Mus musculus: one gene and its partner. The protein of the gene in region 1 interacts with the protein of each later gene in a biochemical or structural test. Links are inferred from orthologs where the notes say so. Each region holds a gene or a part of one and is shown on either strand. Other genes may lie near its edges.

Region 1 (4,434 bases):
ATATATATATGAAAGTAGGGGAGGGACTGGAGAGACCGCTCAGTGGGTAAAGAACTTGCCACTCAAACTTCACTTGTGGACAACAGTAACTGTGGGGCAGAGCCCAGACTGTAATCTCACTGGGAATCGAAGACAGGGACCCTCAGAGCAAGCTGGCGAGCTGGACAGGCAAATCAGGAAGCTCTGGGTTCAAGTGAGAGAGAGACATTGCCTCAGGATAGAAGGTAGGAAGCCACCTGATGTCAAGTTCTGGCTTCCACATGCCGGTGCATACAGCGCTCACACCCGCACACACACCACACACACACCCACACACATATACACACACACAACACACACACATACAACATACACACTCACACACCACACACACACACAAACACACACATACACACACATACACACACACACACCAATACACACACATACATACATACACACAACACACACATACCACACACACACATACACACACACATACACACTCACACAAGCACACACATACACACACCACATAAACACACTCACACCACACACACATACACACACACTATACATACCACACACACACATACACTCACTCACACAAACACATACACATACCACACATACACACAACCACACACACACACACACACACACACACACTCACACACAAGGGGGTGGGGTGGGGTGGAGGTGGGGGTAGCAATGAAGACTCATGCAGTAGAGGGGCTTGCAGCCAAGTCTAAGGCTCCCTCCCACCCCAGGACCCATAAGGTAGGAGAAAACACTCATTAGCTAGCCTAGAGTTTGCTAGTAACCATGCTGGCCTGGACCTCACAGAATTCATCCTGCTGTCTTCTGAGCGCTGAGATTAAAGCTGAGTGCCACCAAGCTCTGTTATAAAAAGTAAGTTTTTTAAAGACTTATTTATTTAATGCATATGTGTACACTGTAACTGTCTTCAGACACACCAGAAGAAGGCACCAGATCCTATTTCAGATGGTTGTGAGCTACCATGTGGTTGCTGGGAATTGAACTCCAGGACCTCTGGAAGAGCAGTCAGTGCTAATACCTCTGGGCCATCTCTCCAGCCCTGTAATTTTTTTTTAAGTGCAGTTTCATTACTTAGTACCAAGGCAATGAGGAATTAAGAGATTTCGGGGAATCTATACTTAGTTAATTCATGCGGGCTGAGTCCACTCCCTAGGTGACTCCATTCCATTGCAGTCTAGACAAAAGAAAACCCTCCTGGCTCTTTATCTTCCTTAATGGAAAGCACACAACAGAATCCTGCAGCTAGCCTACCTTGGCCACTTAGTAATGTTGCATCTATTCTGCCTATTACATTCCTAGTCAGGATTCTCAGCCCCCTGAAGAAAACTGAGGGCATTCGGTGCCGTTTAACTTAACATTTAGGAAGGTTAAAATGCTCAATTTCACGTTCCGTATCATTTTAAGGCACATTTCAAGGCCAGAAACAAAAAAACCTGCAGCCTTATATGTTAGCCAAATATCTTCAAATCTCAATAAAGAGCCAATGGCTCTGGGGGCGGAGTGGGTAGGTCCAGTGTGGCTGTACTGTCTGTCCCCATTTTTAAAATAGCATTCAGATTTAAGGCTGAGTAGGAGTCCGACGTGATTCATTCCTTAGCTGGGCACCGCCACTTTTCTTGGGCCAAAGGTTCCCAAAGGTCAAAGTGCAAATAGATCCCAGGGCTAACAGGTCTAGGGTGCGGCCTGAAACCTGGGTTTTCAAGAGGCCCCCAGGCAATGTCCCAGAATCCCTCTCTCCTTACCAGGAAACTGGTCTTTCAAATGAACTAGGAAAGTCGGGAAACTTTTAGAGGCCAGAGGAGCCTCTGAACAGAACCCGCACACCTGCGGACCTGGGAAGGCGCGGTGGACAACTCAGAGACAGTAGCTCAGAAACCCTCTCGCACACTGCAGCAGCCTGGAAAACACCCTTTTCAAGCTCGGAGAATGCTTGGCATTCGGTGGCCTTTTTCCAACATAAAAATCTCCAACTCGGCTTTGACTGAGAGTCCCATAGAAAAGCCACGGAAAGCAGCCCTGGAGAGCTGACAACGCCCTGTGTTGACAACTCGGCTCGTCCTTTATAAAAGAGTCGAAAGACCCCAAATATATATATACACACACACACAAAGTCGAATTAAATGTTTCACAAAGCGACGGGACTGTTTTCCTGTCGGCGGCGGGGGAGGGGGCAGACTCATGGTCACCAGGATCGCCCCCACCTGCACACAGACACCAGCTTTCCCTCGCTCCGCGCCCGTTCAGGTCACCCACCCCTTAGATACCATCGCTGCCAACAGAAACCCAAAGGCCCTCTGAATCTAGCAGAAGAGACGCTCTGCGGGAGCGAAACAATGTCCCCGCCTGGAAGGACAAGGAGGAGCCAGGCACCTGTAGCAGCGGCGTAAACTCAGATCCCGGGTGACCCTAAGTCAACCCCGGTGATGCGAGGCTGCCCAAGGGTGGGAGATGGAAGTACGCACGCAAAAAGCAGTGCTCAAGAAATCACATCCCAAACCCCACGGGGACAACCGGCGTTCACGCACGCTGCCCCGCGGCGAGCCAAGGCTCCAGAGCAATCTTGTACCCCGGGAGGGACAGAGCCGCAGGTACTCGCCTGGAGAAGGGGGGCGGCGGCAGCCAGCAGAGTCAGCGCGCAGAAAGCGACGGTCCCAGGCGTCGGGCGGCGCAGCGCGGGCAGCGCCTGTCCGGAGGCGGAGTGCCGCGGGCTGCCGCAGCAGGCGGGAGCCAGTGACCTCCGCCACCGGCCGTTCCTGGGTATTGTTGTGACTCAACCTATTTCCTGTTTGGAGGGCTAGAAGAAAGGGGGACAAGTGCCTATCTAGAGTGTGTGTGGTTAGGGGGAGGGTAGATGGGCGGTGGCCATCACCTGCTTCCTCCAGACCCGGAAAAAAAAAAAAAAAGTAGCTCGCGCCACTTTGGGTCGTCCTGTTGGCGGAGGGGGAGGCCTCACCGGCGCCACCCAGCGGTGGGGCAGGGATTGAGCGACGCTTCCGCCTCTTTTCTCAGCAAAACCCCCAAGCTTCGGCTCAAGAGTATAAACATTCGCAGGGTTTATCTAATTCGTGCCCAGATCTGCTTTCAGTCTTTCCGCAGGTGCTGGCGAGGAAAGGTCAGTCACCCCTCAGAAACCACGGGAAGGGTGTTTGTGGGTCACTGTATGTATACGGTAGGGGAGTGGAACGGGTTGATTTTTGTTTGGGGAAGAAGAGAAACGGGTAATGGTATCGGTGAAAGATAAGTTTTAAGATCAATTTCAATCCCCCTCCCCCTCCAACCTCCCTGGTTCTCTGGCTCTGAGGCTCCAATCCGGAAATACCGGTTCCTCTCGGGGGACAATAGGTGAGGGCGGAGCACTAAGCCCAGAGCCTGCTTAGTCACACCGCGGGGAAGGAGGAATGTGCCTAGTGCCCAAGGCTGCACCCGGGGCGCAAGTTCGCCTTCCATTTAACCTAGTCTGGTTAAAAAATCCTAGGAAGAAAAAAAGAAAAGAAAAGAAAAAGAAAAAAAAAAAAATAAAAAGAAAAGCTGGATAGTGGTAGCGTATGCCTTTAATCCCAGCCCTTGGGAGGCATAGGTAGACGGATTTCTGAGTTCGAGGCCAGCCTGATCTACAGAGTGAGTTCGAGGATAGCCAGGCTACACAGAGAAACCCTGTCTCAGGGGGGAAAAAAAATCCTAAGAAGATTCCAGGGTACAGGATAAAAGTTGTGGTGATGGCGAGATGGATAGTGGTGATAGTTGTGCGGTGTGAATGCTCGCACTTGCCCACTGCGTTGCAATTTTAAGTATTTTAGTTTGCTTTTTTAAAAATCCTGTAAAGGATGCTGAGGTTCTATTCCAGGCAACTTCGCGCACGAGCGCCCTCTCCTCCCCACAAAACCCTTTCGCCAGGAGTAACTATGTCAACTGAGACACTCTCTCAAGGAAAAAAAAAAAAGAACAAAAACAACAACAACAAAAACAAAACCCCAACAAGAGAAACCAGGAGTGGTAGCACAGATTTGTAATCCCAGAGCTGGGGAGACAGATCCTTGGATTTACCAGCCCCCGAAAAATGAAAGACCCGGTCTTATAAACCAACATGGACAGATCCTGAGGAACAGGTGTTATCAGACCTGCCAATACACACACACACACACACACACACACACACACACACACACGCCCCAGGCAAAGGAAGATCAAACCTGAAGGCTCAGGCTTTAAGAAAGTATCACTTTAAGAAAAATGAGCACAAGCAAACTGTTAAGCAAATAAAAGCATACCAATTGTGCCTCCATTTACTAAGAAAGGAAAAACACCTACCCATGAATTTGCTTTTTCTTTTTTTGAGTTGAGGTCTTAGTTACTATGGCCCTAATGGCCCTTCCATGCAATCCTGCTGGTTCCAAT
Region 2 (3,647 bases), on another chromosome or scaffold:
TGCCTCCATGAGCGTGACTTTCAAGCTTCATCCTAGCAGCTCAGGTTTGGGTTCACAGCTTTGCGGGGCTGCTCTCCTTGTTGGTTATAGAGCTCTCTAATAAAAAAGAGCTGTCAACAGCCAGTTTATGGTACAGGCAAAAACTGCTGGCTACCTCCTATAAGACATCTTAGCTGAATATAGGTGGATTTGTAAAACTCCAGGGTCATTTTTGCAGGTTCAGAACCTTAATTTGGTCAGCACTGCAAAACCTGCTCTTTGAGGGGGAAATTCATTAACTATATGATAAAAAAACAATTTTTTTAGGATGTTTATTAATTTACATTGAGAAATATAATCCCTGGACTGGGATGCTGGTATCCGCTTGGCTCGCTGACCTAATTGCGGAGTCCAAGTTGTAATCCAAAGGCTATTTGGAAAGCACACAGCCTGGACATGGGGCTCAAGGGGTGTAGTGGGTGATGTGCATCTTCCCAGTATCCCAAGTCACAGTTTTGCTGGCGGGTTGGTGACACAACACTCCCAAGAGTCTCACTTCCACCTTTTTTTTTCCCCTAAAAGTCAATCTTTTTTCATCATGCATGGATGATAGTTCATGAAAGAGTTATGAGGAAGTCATAAAAGTTAAAATAAACCCAGTTTCATACTCTTGGTGTTGTAGTTTATGAAGGATAAGAACACAGCTAATAGGTCGGGTGTGGTGGTTGCATGCCTTTAATTAGCATTTGGGAAGGAGAAGCAGTAGATCTCTGTGAGTTCAAGGTAAGTCTGGTCTACATAGTGAATTCCAGGATAGCCAGGGCTCTATAGAAAGAACCTTTCTCAACTCCCAGGAAAAAGAACCCTCCCCCAGGAAAAAGAACTTCTCCACAAAAACAAAAACAAAAACAAAAACACCAAACCAAACCAAATCAAAAAAGAGCACAGCTAATTATTTTTGGATGACATATAACGTGTTGTTGTGAAGTTAAAAATACCTATTAATATATTAGCTGACATGACACAGCTTGACACAGTCCTCCAGAAAAGCTTATTTATCATTATGCCTCAGGTAGGAGGTATAATTTATCAAGTATTTGAACAACATATAGGTTAGGGACGCAGACGAACCCAGCCCGACACAGACGAGGCAGTGGCTCTGTTTCTCTGTCTTTGTAAGGGATTTTGTTAGTGTCTACATTATAGTCACTGCATATTCTGTGACCCTTTGGTCTTATTGGCTATTGCTAAGTTTGAAAAGTGTTAATAACTAAGTAGAATAGCTACTTATAGTTAAAATTATAACTAAAGAGAACCATAATTTATATTTTAACTGCCCTTTAAAAAGAAGTTTAAGATGTATTACTATTTACTGTGCTATAATTTTGTGTTTTGGTTTATTTATTTGGCAGCCAGTCATGTTTTATAAAGTTTTATACTATAAAATTCCTCTTTATTTTTTAGTTTTTTGAGACAAGGACTCACTAGATAGGCCAGGCTGGCTTTGAACTCACAGAGATCTGCCTGCCTCTGTTTCCTGAGTGCTGGGATTAGTGCACCACCATATTTGGCCTAAAATTTCTCATTTGAAAGCAGACAGTTGGTATATTTTAGAATATTCATTGTATTGTGAAACCATCACCATTCTCTAGTTACACGATGTTTTAATAACCCCAGAAAGCGCCCATGCCCATTGGTGGTCCTTCCCTATGTGTCCCGACAATTTTGTATCTCCAGACTTGCATAAGCTGAATATTTCAAATAATTGTAATTCTATAATAATGGCTTTTTATTTATGGATTTTTTTTTCATCTGGTGTAGTCAAGATTCAACTGTGTGGTATCAAAAATCTTTATCTTTTTGTTTATGTATGTGTGTTTAGTTTTTTGAGATAGGGTCTTATGTAGTCCAGGAGTGCCTGGAACTTGCTCTGTAGCTGAAGATGCCTTGACAACCTGATCCTCCTGCCTCTGCCTTCTGTGTGTTGGATTATAGACATGTCCCATCACACCTGGCTTCATCCAGTTTTACGGATGTATGATGTTCTATTCATTAAAATTTAAGGACATGTGGATTGCTTCTGGGTTTGACATACAGTGACTGATCTTGCTGTGACATTTATAAGCAAGTTTTTGTGAGAATTGCCACTTTTCTTAGGCACATTACTTGAACATAGTATTGCCTTGTCATGTGATTAGCCTGTGTTCAGCTTTTTTGATTCTCCCAATTGCTCTCGAAAGCAGCCTTATCATTTATATTTCTTCCCATCATGTGTGAAGTCTTATTTTCTCCACTTTCCAGAACCTCATTATAGCAGAGTCTCGCCACTGGGTTTTTTTTTTTTTTTCCTTTCTAGGAGCTTCGACGCACCCAGGGGGAGCTTAAAGAGCTTCAGGCAGAGCAGCAGAACCAGGAGGTGACTGGGCGACACCAGAACCAGGTGTTAGAGAAGCAGCTGGCAGCGCTGAGGGAGGAGGCTGATCGAGGCCGAGAGCTGGAGCAGCAGAACCTCCAGCTACAAAAGACCCTGCAGCAACTGCGGCAGGACTGTGAAGAGGCTTCCAAGGCAAGGGGAGTGGGCCCAGGGCTCAGGAGGTGGAGGCTGAGGGGTCAGGAGGGCTGAGAAGCCAGAGGTCCTGCAAACTTAACCTATCCTGGGTATGTACTGAGGAGCTCTGGAGGCTCCTGTGTGTGGGGAATAGCAGAATTTGGCAGGGTGGCTGCATCTGTGTAGGGGTAAGATTGTCAGGAAGGTTCCTGGCTAGGGCTACCCCTCTATCCCTAGCTCCTGTGAGCTTTTAGTGGGTTCTCAGGTACCCCTTTTTCCTGGGTGTAAATGCTTACCCATAGGAGCCCCTCGGTCTGAGCCGATTCTCCCAACTGCCCGCAGGCTAAGGTGGCATCAGAGACAGAGGCCATGGTGCTGGGGCAGCGTCGGGCAACCGTGGAAACCACACTTCGGGAGACACAAGAGGAAAATGACGAATTCCGAAGGCGCATCCTGGGTCTGGAGCAGCAGTTGAAGGAGGCCCGAGGTCTGGCGGAAGGTGGGGAAGCGGTGGAGGCACGGCTTCGGGACAAAGTGCATCGGCTGGAGGTAACACTTTTGTCCACCTTGGGGTCTCCCCGCTCTCTCTCCTGCCCTCCTCCTTTCTCAGTTGTGTGCCCTCATGCACTGCCACCCCTCGGTACTCAGCTTAGAACGCCCCCATGTACTGTGCTCCCATCTCGGTATGTGGCCATCAGTTTTACTGCCAATGTGCACTGCCCTTTTCCCTCACCGTATGTATCTATTAAGCTTAGGTTTGTTTTCTGAACTGATTTGGTGTGAATGTTTCAAACTCTGCGCTGGTATTGTTGTCTCCCACCCTTTGCTTGTTCAGTGCTTTGATTTCTGAGTCGGTTTGGATGTCCACTTTTTTTTTTTTTTTTTTTTAGGCAAGATCTGACTATGTAATCCCTCCTGGCCTGGAACTCACTATGCAGACCAGTGAGGTCGGCCTGTGTCAGCCTCACAAGTTCTAGGACTAGAGATGTGTGTCACCACACCCAACATTACCTTTTTCATCTTCCTATCTCCAATGCTTCAGCCTGAGTTTTCCTTTCTCTCAGCCCAGCCTTCCTCCTCTCCCGCCTCCCAGGTAGAGAAACAGCAGCTGGAAGAGGCT

What was found.
Region 2: the proteins of Tjp2 (region 1) and Cgn form a complex in vitro, tested with the Homo sapiens proteins (2 studies listed by BioGRID and IntAct, with this or other methods). The link is inferred for Mus musculus from reciprocal best matches to the Homo sapiens genes TJP2 and CGN.

Annotation. Positions count from the first base shown.
Region 1 is NC_000085.6:24,222,216-24,226,649, forward strand, and holds the start of Tjp2 (tight junction protein ZO-2), read right to left. Parts: upstream 2,812-4,434; 5' UTR 2,636-2,811; intron 1-2,635. UniProt on the Homo sapiens protein: Plays a role in tight junctions and adherens junctions. Acts as a positive regulator of RANKL-induced osteoclast differentiation, potentially via mediating downstream transcriptional activity.
Region 2 is NC_000069.6:94,769,391-94,773,037, reverse strand, and holds part of Cgn (cingulin), read left to right. Parts: intron 1-2,335; coding exon 2,336-2,545; coding exon of another isoform or gene 2,546-2,550; intron 2,551-2,869; coding exon 2,870-3,076; exon of another isoform or gene 3,077-3,080; intron 3,081-3,620; coding exon 3,621-3,647. UniProt on the Homo sapiens protein: Probably plays a role in the formation and regulation of the tight junction (TJ) paracellular permeability barrier.